3 linked regions of the Ovis aries genome follow. The protein of the gene in region 1 interacts with the protein of each later gene in a pairwise test. Links are inferred from orthologs where the notes say so. Each region holds a gene or a part of one and is shown on either strand. Other genes may lie near its edges.

What was found.
Region 2: the proteins of SS18L1 (region 1) and RFX6 interact in binary tests that used the Homo sapiens proteins (3 or more experiments, as listed by UniProt). The two-hybrid records come from large-scale screens. The link is inferred for Ovis aries from reciprocal best matches to the Homo sapiens genes SS18L1 and RFX6.
Region 3: the proteins of SS18L1 (region 1) and MAPK1IP1L interact in binary tests that used the Homo sapiens proteins (3 or more experiments, as listed by UniProt). The two-hybrid records come from large-scale screens. The link is inferred for Ovis aries from reciprocal best matches to the Homo sapiens genes SS18L1 and MAPK1IP1L.

The regions. Positions count from the first base shown.
Region 1 is NC_056066.1:54,723,833-54,727,482, reverse strand, and holds part of SS18L1 (calcium-responsive transactivator), read left to right. Parts: intron 1-2,527; coding exon 2,528-2,647; intron 2,648-3,571; coding exon 3,572-3,650. UniProt on the Homo sapiens protein: Transcriptional activator which is required for calcium-dependent dendritic growth and branching in cortical neurons. Recruits CREB-binding protein (CREBBP) to nuclear bodies.
Region 2 is NC_056061.1:21,008,555-21,012,929, reverse strand, and holds the start of RFX6 (DNA-binding protein RFX6), read left to right. Parts: upstream 1-1,446; 5' UTR 1,447-1,503; coding exon 1,504-1,723; intron 1,724-1,979; coding exon 1,980-2,136; intron 2,137-4,375. UniProt on the Homo sapiens protein: Transcription factor required to direct islet cell differentiation during endocrine pancreas development. Specifically required for the differentiation of 4 of the 5 islet cell types and for the production of insulin.
Region 3 is NC_056060.1:65,606,798-65,610,447, forward strand, and holds part of MAPK1IP1L (MAPK-interacting and spindle-stabilizing protein-like), read left to right. Parts: intron 1-608; 5' UTR 609-612; coding exon 613-630; intron 631-1,311; coding exon 1,312-2,004; intron 2,005-2,974; coding exon 2,975-2,986; 3' UTR 2,987-3,650.

The sequences.
Region 1 (3,650 bases):
GTTCCTTTGTTTTGTGGCCACATTCCTACCACATTTATTAACACCAGCCTCTTCTTTAACCAATGAGTGTTTCCTTTTTTCATGGCCACGTCATAGGCTGTCACAATATTCTTAAAGATAGAAACAAATGAAAAGGAGCAGAAAAACAAGGGAAGTGGTCGTCTCTGCCCCAGTGGTGGGAAAGCCCCGGGTTGTTCCAGGAAGGGCAGAATCTGGGCTCCCTGGCTCTGCTGCTCCCACAAGACCCTCTTGAGAACTCCTCAGGCATGTTCAGAGAGTCCTGCCTCTTGTTTCAGAGTTGTCCAAACCAGCCCATCTTCCCCTGGGGTTTGGCCCTGGATCAAGGGAAGGTTTTTCTGGGTGCATGAGAGCTGCGCTGCATTCTTACTCACTGCACACCTGCTGTGTCCAGGCCTCAGCAGCTGCTGCTGTGAATTAGCCCCTTTACCTGTTGCCACAGAAGGAGAACAGGACTGTAAGACATGAGAACGTGCAGATGGGCCCCGAAACTCTGCAGCCCTGGAGAAACCTGCCAAGTCTCTGGTGCACTTCTCAGGAGACACAAGGACAGTGAACCCACATCTCCACCAGTTGCTGACACCTCCTTGGCCATCAGCTGTCCCATTGGCCATTATTGCTGGGACCAGCCATGGTTGTGAGGAGGGAGCAGAGGTCAAGGTGTTTCCTTAGATGGTGATCAATCAGAAAGACCGAGGAAAGATTTCCCTGGTGGTCCAGTGGCTAAAACTCCGCACTCCCAGTGCAGGAGACACGGGTTCGATCCCTGGTCAAGGGACTAGATCCCACCTGCCACAACTAAAGATCCCACATGCCACAGCACAGCTGAGCTGGCTCAGCCAAATAAGAAACAGATAATTTTTTAAAAAGACCCACAGGCTCATCAGAGCCCACCTTGGAGAAGAGTTTGCCCATATTACAGAGTGTGTTCCTTTTCTTTGTGTGCAGCTGGAAATGGACTTCCTAGTGGGGTTTTAAGCCTTTCCACATGAATTTGCTCTCAATAAAGCTGTTATTTTTAAATGTACATTATCAGGATCCCAGTTTTTAAATACTTACAATTTATAACTCCTAGAAGAGGAAAGTTTTTTGTTTTTTGTTTTTTTTACTTTATTCTAAGGAAAGTTATTTACAACTGGAAAAATAATGTAGAAAAATGGGTTATTTGGATTCCATTGTTCATAACCTGGCCTCTTGTCACGGTGCCTCTGTCTCTTACTTCCAGAATATGTTTTGAATAAAGAACAAAAACAAAACAATAAACAGCTCTCCTTTCTGGGCAGGCTGTTCACTGGCTCTCTGATGCCACAGAGGAGTAAACACTCCTGGGCCCCCGGCCTCCAGCTGCTCCTGCTAGAGCCTCCAGCTGCTCCTGCTAGAGCATGGAGTCTTATGCAAAGTAGGACCCGACATACTGTAAGTTAAAGGGCAGGCACTGTGGTGGTGAAGAGCAAAGCCCTATTTGAAAGAAAACAATGAAACTAGGCTTAAATTGGTCTTTGTATAAAGGCACTATGAAAACTGAATGGAATTTAATCTCTACACCAATCTAAAACTCTTGTGACCTGCGTTAGGAAGACTTTGTAGAAATATTTTTAATTTTTATTGATTTTTAAAATTTTATTTAAATATAGTTGATTGACAGAGTTGTGTTTCAGGTGTTCAGCAAAGTGATTCAGTTATACATATATACATATATTTACATATGTACTTTTCTTAGGTTCTTTTCCATTGTAGGTGTAGGATTTTTAAATGGTTGTTAACACTCGCTCTTAACCCTTGATAACTATTTGTTAATATGCTTACCACTCTCTCAACTTTTACTGTGAGCTTTCTTCCAAAAATGAGGCTTTTAGCATGGGTGCTGGCTGGCTAGTTAAGAGTTTTGAAAATGAGAATTAAGGCATTTTCTTTGGGAAAAAAAAAAAGAAAAAATGAACCTAAAACATCTCTGGGACTATACCCACAAATAGATGAAGAACACAGAGGTAAATTTCTACATCTTTTCATCCATGAAGTCAGAGGAAAAACACGTTACAGGTCTGAACTGGCTTGCACATTTGCCTGTAAAACGAAATTGCATTGAAACGTGTGGGGTCCCTTTGGACTCTGGGAGTCACACAGCCTTTCCCTGTGTGTGTGTCCAGATCTCCTTCTTATAGGAACACTGGATTAGGGCCCAGCTTGATCCAGTATGGCTTCCCCTTAACAATTACATCTGCAAAGACCCTCTTTCCAAATAAGGCCACAGGTCCCCAGGGTCAGGACCTCAAAGCCCTGGTATCAGGCTTTGTTTTAACTGCAATAGTCTTTTCATTTTGGCCGTATATTTGTATTTCTATCAGATAGTAAGAGAGAAGTATAGTAAAATAATTTGTATTGTTGTGGAAAAGAAAAGGTGCTGGAGCAATAGAGTCAATCTATGGAACCCAAAGCAGCCCATACCTTGGAGGACAATGGAGCTGCCATTGCTCTCTGGAAACAAGTTCATGTCTACTTCCCTCTGCAGGAAACTCACAGTACAGCCAGCAGCAGACAGGGTACCAGCAGGGAACAGCCCAGCAGCAGACGTACTCCCAACAGCAGTACCCCAACCAGCAGAGCTACCCCGGACAACAGCAAGGCTACGGTAAGGCGGTGGGGGTTGCAGGAGCATGGTCATTCAATGGGTGCCTGCGCACGTCTTATTTTGAAACAGCTGTAGGTTTCCAGAAAAGCTATGGGGAAAGCTGATGGTTCCCCATGGCTAACCTCTTCTATTCCCAGCGCCCCATGGTCACAGCTAAGAAACCAGCGCTGGTGTGTGGCCGTGGACTGAACCCCGTTTCTTCAGACCTCATGGGCCTACCTACATGTCCTTTCCTGTCCTGGACTGTCCGGGGTTCCACAACTCCTTGGGTTGCAAGTTGCTCGCACTTTCCTTGTCTTTCCTGACCTTGGCACTTTGAAGAGGGCTAGGCAGGCACTTTGTAGACCCTCCATCAGGCTGGTTTTGGAAAAACCCCTCAGCCTTTGTCAATTCCGCCTTCCCTGTCCACTTAGGCTTCGAGGCACCATCATTGTCTTGCCTGTGTTCTCGCCATTTGCTGTACATTTAACTCGTGTTTACAGTAATAACTGTGACTGTGTAGACTGGTCCCAAGAAGCAGGTCTAGCGCTCTGACAGTGGCCCCCAGTCCCCGTCTGGATGTGGGGGAGGCATAGCTGGAGCCATGGGGGCGTAGCAGGTTTGGCCGCCAGCTGTGGTGCTTTCACTACTCAGGTTTAATGTGGTAGAAAAATGGGTGCTGATGTCTCAGGGGCTTCCCCAGTAGCTCAGCTGTAAAGAATCCACCTGTAATGCAGGAGCCACAGTAGATGCAAGTTGGATCCCTGGGTCGGGGAGATTCCTTAGAAGAGGACATGGCAACCTACTCCAATTGGCAGGCTACATTCCATGGGGTTGCAAAGAGTCAGACACGACTGAATTAGCAGGAATGCACGTCTCAGGGGCTTGGGAGGACCTGTGGGAGAGGGTGTTGGGGGGTGATCTCACGATCCTGCTGTGTTCTAGGACCTGCCCAGGGTGCCCCCTCACAGTACTCCAGCTACCAGCAGGGACAAGGCCAGCAGTACGGAAGCTACCGTGCATC
Region 2 (4,375 bases), on another chromosome or scaffold:
GGTACTGGGTGGAGGAGACTGATACTCAAGGTTGTAGGGAGTGATGGTGGTATAGACTTAGAGCTTTGGTTGCCTGGATAGCTGGACTGCCCCAACCTAGATCCAGGCTCTGGAGGTACCAGGAGAAAATCTCTGACAGAGAAGTGGTGACTTTTCCATAAGTTACGCTGAAAAATGGGTAAGGGTCAAATGTACTCATAATGTTAGCCACTTTGGCAAAGTAATGCTCTTAGATTGTTTTACTCCCACCTATAATCCACCCTTCAGCCATCCACCACCTTGGGTCCCATTTTGCTTTTTCCATGTTATATTTGGATATAATATAGTTTAATATTGTTAAATTTCAGGAGTGATCTATCTTACTAAGCTCCAAATGAGGATGGCAGGCTGCAGATTGTGGTGAAGAAGTGTGAATGAAAGCAAGATATTTGCTCTCTCTGGAGAGCACCAAACATATAGATAGTGAGCACAGGGCAATATCTGTCAAAAGAACAGAAGGTGGAAGGAAGGAAAGATTCGGTGTCAATGGGGCAACACAGAGCCCAAGTCTACTGATTTCTCCTTAAAGAAAGAACAAGATATTTTCCCCCATACACGACTATCTCGGCATTTTAGATTGGAAATGAAATGTGGCAACTTCATTTTTTCATTTCCGCAATGGTCCATTGCACTACTACCAGGTATGAGGGGTGAGGAATCGCCAGGGATGCGTTTAAATTACAAAATACGTAGAGAGTGGATGCATCTTTTCCTCTAAGCTCAGAGCCAGATCCCCAGAGGGCAGAGAGGCAGGCATTCTGCGCTGGGGAGCAAGGCAGTCTTCCCACTAGTGGGCCGAGATGGCGTCTGTCCGGGTCACTGAGAAGACCCCTTACCACTCCCCACCCCCCACCGCCCAGGATTACTCTGGGAATAAATCAGCCCAGACCATGTTCTGCAAAGACTGAGCGGTGCTCTGAGGTCCCCCTCCTCCGGCCTGGGCGTGCAGAATCAGGGCAGTCCCCTGAAGCATCCTTGATGTCACCCGAGAGTAGAGGTGGGGAGAGTTGCTTCTCCCCTCCCTCGGCCCCCCACCCCACCCCGAGATGACAGTGTCGCTTTCTTGGTTCCTTGGAGAGCTTTGGGTGTGGAAAAGTGTCCTCGGTCCCAGCTCAAGATGGGAGAAGAGGAAACAGAGGGAAGAGATGTGGGGAAAGGGACTTCATTGCTCAGGCTTGACTCGCGCAGGTGAGAAGTGAGTTCTGAGCGGAGCATCTGTCAGGATGGCAGGCAGGTGGAGACGGGCAGTCCCGCCTCGGCCCACCCGGTTCCCTGGGCTGTCAGAGCTGCCCCTGGGCCGGGCCTTCCTTCTCCGCGACGCCCGGGGGATCCCGAGCCGCGGCCTCCGCCTCCGCCCCAGCGGCCCGGGGTCCGCAGCCCCGCCCCGCCCCGCCCCGCCCCGGCCTCCCGGCTCCGCTGGGCGCCGGTCGAGCGGCTGGCGCCCAAGTCTCGGCGGCCAGGAGGATGGCCAAGGTCCCGGAGCTGGAAGACGCCTTCCTGCAGGCGCAGGCTTCTCCCCCGGTTTCCCCCGAAGTCCAGGAGTGTTGTGTGCAGCTCCTGGGCAAGGGTTTGCTCGTTTACCCCGAAGAAAGGGTGTACCTGACGGGCGAAGCGCAGCCGGGGCGCGAGCTGGGCAGCGGGGAGAAAGCGGACGACTCGGAGCTGCCCGGGGGAGTTAAAGCCGGTGAGTGCTCTGCCCTCCCGGGACGTGACTGGGACTCGGATGTAGTTTTAAAAGGGCCTCCAATGATAAACACATCGCAAACGTACATGTGTTTCCCCTAGGAAAATGCTGGTCGAATAGAAATTAAGTCTAAGGGATTTTGTATAACTCTCCTCCGAACCCCCCATAGACCACCCCGTTTGACGCCAAGATACATTTAGAGCTAATTAATTGATTTTATATTCTGGTTTTCTTTATCTTTTCAACTGGCAATTAGAAATGCATTTAAGCAATGGTAACTTTTCCTCCGAAGAAGAGGATGCGGATAATCCAGACAGCAAAACTAAAGCAACCGATCCACACCTCTCACAGAAGAAAACCATCACGCAGATTATGAAGGATAAAAAGAAGCAGACCCAGCTCACCCTGCAGTGGTAAGGCTCGCTCAAGGGTACCCTTGAATTTTGAAAGTCAGTATATTCAGATTCTTTGCTTTTTTCCATTTGGTTCTCTCAAACGTTCTTGCAGGAGTTTAAAAGACCAATTAGAAATTCATCCAAAAATTGTTTTCACTGAATGTTTTGTATAGAGACATATTCTGGTAAAGGTGAAAAATGATCTGCAATGCAAATAAAAACCATCACTTTGTTCATTATTGGCTAACTTCTTTGTAATTTTGTAATTTCTTTGTTGTAGTTTCATTATTGTAATTCCTTTGAATGTAAGCAATAATGAATTTTAATGACTTGTTCAACATGCAATCAACTCATAAGCTTTTATGTTTATAAAACATGATTCTTAAAAAATAAGTTAAAAAGAGGAAGGATCTTAACCCTACCTTTTACCATAGAGTGCAAATTCAAAATTGTGTATCAGTTGTGTATCAATTCAGCCATAAGATGAAATATGTTTGAACTAGAAGACATAGATCAATCAGTTAAAATGGTGCTATTAACTTAAATAAATATTCAACTATTTTAAAAGTAGCTTTTATATATGATTTATTACAGTGAAATATCACTAATTAGATTTTATGGAAAATCTTCTAAAACCAAGAGTTTATCAGTAGGCTCTCTAAGTAAAAGTCCTACAGAAACTTTTATAATATTGTTTCAAAAGGAAGAGGAATCTAAAGTAAAAACATAATATTAAACTTCCCTATGTAGGGTAAAGAAATTTCCTCCCAAATTCCAAATAGGATGCAAATAAGTAAAAATGTCTATTTGCTAATAAGTTACACAATCTGTTTATATGTAAAATGTGATCTAAATCTTAAAAAAATACAATAGAAAAAGCAGTATCTTAATAAAAACTAGTACATTTTATTTCATTTAAACATTGAATTACAATTTGCATATACTGTTTGTGATTGTGTCCTTAATTCTTCCAAACATTTGAAATATAAGTTTAATATCCTTCTAAAATTATGGCTAATCTATTGAAATTGATATTTCATTTATTAGTTGAGAATATACTAGGGCAGTAAATAATTGAGCTAATTATCTTAAATATTTAGGAAACAGCTATTTTCTTTAGGATAATTGGAGCAAAAAGGTTTTGACTTCAGATATATTATGAAGGCTTTTTGAATGATCACTTCCATTCAATTTGAATGAATGGAAACAAATGGGTTTTTATTTTATAAATATAAATACATTACAATTAAAGAAAAAAGTCATATCCAAAATTAAGATTGTATTTATGTCTAGGATTAGTCAGTATTTTGAAGACAAAAACAATGCCAACAATATCAATACAGCCAGATGAAAAAGTGGACATTATATGTGTCATTTAAATATAGTTAAAACAGTTGAATATTTCTCAGTAATTTTCATATGTTTTGAGACTATAAAATGTCATCATTTTTGTTTGAACTTTCCACACTCTCACCCCCTCCCAGAGATATATAGTTTTAAAAAAACCTACATGAGTTATTTACCTTTTGATAATTTTCCCTTACGACTACAGATTAGAGTGGGGATGTTAAAAATTAGAATTAAAAATTAAAGTGCCTGAGTAGCTTCAATTTTCACTGTCAACTAGGTGTTTGGTTTTGTGTATGTAAATTTTACTGGGATTTCCATCTTTCTAAGACAAAGGAAAAAAAGAACCAAATCCCAGGAAACATCCTGTAGCTTTTATCTCACGCACCTTGGGAACATGTTAAATCAGAGATCTTGAAGAGTTTCACTCAATTTTAACCTAAATGTATATTCTATATTGTGTTGCTCTTGTATAGTACTAATTATGATCTTACTGTACATAAAAAGAAAGTAAGTAAATTTTAGCCATTATCGTCTACTGAAAGGGTGGAAGAATTGAGACTAGAATCCACAAGTTCTGATTTCTTGATGGCTGTTCAGGTATTTGTAACACTTAAATATATGTTATTACCTTTATATAAATTGTGTGCAATTGCAATTGCTGGTATCCAAATTAAGTGGAATTATTTCTAAATTTTCAAAGATTATATGATTATGTTTATAATATAGAACCGAATTTAGTGTCACGTTTGGCGGCATCCATAGAGAATAACATTATGTTTCGTGAGTACAGGATCTTTTAGGTAATGATAAGTACTAATTACAGCAAAAAAGGGTAGAGATAGAGGTAAACTGGTACTATTTCAAACTTACAGTTAATGTATTCTTATGTATTTTGCAAATAAATGTG
Region 3 (3,650 bases), on another chromosome or scaffold:
AAGTGGTCCAAGCATATTCACAGAAAAAGAAGTCTAAATGGGGTATTAAATTTAAATAATGCTCTACTTTCCACTTAATTAATAATCATATGTAAGTTAAAACATGATGCCAATCTTTAACCTGTCATTGAAAATGATGTATAAATTTAGTAACATCCAGTGGTGAAGAGGAGCTTTAAAAAGGTAGTGTAAATTGGGATGGCCTTTTTGAGATGGATTTTAAATGGCCTTACCTGTTGACTGTGTATTTCACTTCTAGTGCTTTTTCCTCGTAATAGACTCAAAAAGATAGGTGTTTAGAGATGTTCACAGTGTCGTCATTTTAAAAAACTCAGAATGCAACAGCCTAAACAGCCACCAACTTGAGAGTACAAAGTAAATTATGGATCACTTTTATATACTGTATAGCCAGTAAAAAGGGATGAAGTTTATCAGGGTGTATGAACTATTTTGGAGATTTTTCCTACATGAAGAAAGTAATTTTATAAATTATTAAGATTCCATTTAAATAAAATAATATATGCATAATTCCTTAAAGAATATAAAATATAATAAACTGGTTTTGAAATATTCCTTCTTTTTTTGTTTTGTTTTGGTTTTGTTTTTAGGAAAATGTCTGATGAATTTTCGGTAAGTTGATGCATTTATTCTTCATAAGTTTTTTGGCTCTTGAAAAAAGACATGGTCCTAACTGTGGGCCCGAAGTCTTCCAATTTAAAAGAAATGCTTTTTGTGATTCTTCTTCTTTTTTTTTTTTTTTAGCATGTGATTTTGATGGATGATTTGTCTTAATTTAGCTATAATATTTGAAAATGCATTCTGTAGTACTTATTTCTTGATGAATCTTTAAGTATAATTTTTTAAAGGCTTACTTCTGTTTTCTTTTAACCGGATAGTGTTAATTATAGCCAACATTTCTTGATAATTGTGTACCAGGCACTGTGTTAAGTGCATTGAGTGAGTTATCTCATTTAGGCCTCAGGTTAACCCTAAACTGTTGTTTTGAAAATGAGGAAACCAAAGCTCAGAGAAGGTATGTCACTTGTTTGAGGAAAAGCCAGGATTCAGTTCATACTGTGTTGATCAGTTGTATTTAGAAAACTTGAGCTTCTCTGAGGAATTTGCATTGTAAAGCTGATATTCAAGGAAACTCCCAAATTTTGTATTAAACGAAGTGGTTTTAAACGGAACAGCTTGGCTTTTGAAGAATTCCTGACCTGATAGCTTACCATCCTTCATAGGTTGATAATCGTGTATGGCATTGCCTGTCCCTGAATAAGATCAATAAGACATGCTTGTTTTGTATTCCAGTTGGCAGATGCGCTACCTGAAAACTCCCCTGCCAAAACCTCTGCTGTGAGCAATACAAAACCCGGCCAACCTCCTCAAGGCTGGCCAGGTTCCAACCCCTGGAATAACCCAAGTGCTCCACCTGCCGTGCCATCTGGACTCCCGCCAAGTGCAACACCCTCCCCCGTGCCTTTTGGACCAACGCCAACAGGGATGTACCCCTCCGTGCCTCCCACCGGACCGCCTCCGGGACCCCCGGCTCCCTTTCCTCCTTCTGGACCCTCGTGCCCCCCACCTGGGGGTCCTTATCCAGGCCCTGGCCCCACTGGGCCATATCCTACACCAAATATGCCCTTTCCTGAGCTTCCAAGACCATATGGTGCACCCACAGATCCAACTGCAGCTGGTCCTTTAGGTCCATGGGGATCCATGTCTTCGGGACCCTGGGCACCAGGAATGGGAGGGCAGTATCCCACCCCCAATATGCCATATCCGTCTCCAGGGCCATACCCCGCTCCTCCTCCTCCCCAGGCACCAGGGGCGGCCCCACCTGTTCCATGGGGCACTGTGCCACCAGGAGCCTGGGGACCACCAGCGCCGTATCCTGCCCCTGCAGGATCGTATCCCACACCAGGACTGTATCCCACTCCCAATAATCCTTTTCAAGTGCCTTCAGGACCTTCTGGTGCTCCACCGATGCCTGGTGGCCCCCATGTGAGTGTTTAATTTGTTATTAACATGCAGTAATAGTCCTATAAGCTGAAAAACTCTCCAGTTTTGGATGGACAATTAGAAAGCTTTTAAACCCTTTTTTTTTTTTTAAGGGGTGTGTATATAAAATAAGTAAATTTCAACCTTCAGACAAATTTAGATAAAGCATTTAAAAGGATGAAAGCACAGGTATTCCTGGTATTAAAAATACAGAAATTGCTCAGATATCCCTCAAAGGATTTGTAATGTAGTAAGCGGTATCCTCAACAGCATTCTTGAGGTAAACTCAGAGATGTGTTTCATTGGACTTTTTTTTTTTTTTTTTTTTTTAACTTCTCTCAGTAGTGTTTTGATAGCATCAAACCAAAGCACAAAGTTCAATGGAAGTCATCTCTCTCAGTCTGGCTAGATATAGAGGTAGATTTTCAGAGAATCCAGAGCCATGAATGTGTAACGTTGCCCATCGTTCACGCAGCTGTCGTGTTTCTCAGCCAGGGTTATGTTAGACCCTTCACAGTACTGAGCTCAAGATTATCCCACGCTTCTGCATTGCCAATTATATGTAATGCTGTGTGCTCTACTGTCAGCCAAGCTGGAGTAGGGTTGACATCTTAGTTGAGGACCTGTCTTGGGCATATGACCAAGTAGAAAAGCACCATGTTCCCCTATGAATTGAGCCAAGTCACATTCTCCACAGGGGAAAAGAAAATCTGTTTATTCTTAAAAGGACTAATCAGATCTCCAACCAGATTAATCACAACCAATTAATCTTAATAAAGTGTCCCTGAAACTTTTAATTAGTGTAACTTTTTGCCATATGTATATTGTTTTAAATATTTCAGTAAAGTGTATGCCAGAATAAGTGATGATTTGCTGTTTGGATTTATTAAGCAATAAGTTTAAGTCACAGCAAGGAGTTAATAAACTCCATGTACAAAATCTAGAAGTTTACTTTTTCTTTTTTCTATTGCAGTCTTACCATTAAGTTAACAATGGATGAAGAGATGACGCTTTGCTTTTTGAAGTACATAGATATATGCACTTGAATGCATATATAAAAATTGCTGTTTCCCTATTCTTAGAGGGCATTCATGAAAGAACAACTCTTGCACCTCTCAGAAGATGTCTGCCTCTTGTGCTTGGATGTATAGTACATCTGATGGATACAATCAGATAAAAATGTAAACAAATCATTCAAATGTGATTTTTATTTGGTTTTTATGGAAAGTTAAATAATTACGTATATTGAATAGCTCTTTGCTACAATTTGTTTAAAACAGACTTTTCAATTTGTTTAAATTATGAAACTAAACACTTATATAATCACTTTTTCCCCCAAATAAACACACTTTGAAAACAATCCCATTGTCATAATTTAAACAAATGATACTTCTCAACATCTTGAGCTGTTCTCTCTACAGGATAAATAAACCTGGTCCTTCTGAGGTTAAAATTTGGATATACATTTTAAAACTGTTGGTGATTACTGTCAGATGTTGAGTTCATTTTTATCCTTGAGCTTTTAGTGAAAACTTTTCCTTCGTTTTTAGTTCCACTGATAAGTCTTATTTTTAGCCAGATGGGCCATGCAGTGCTAAAATATGCCCTTTGTGGAAACTTGTTTCTTTGTAAATGTAAATTATATTCTT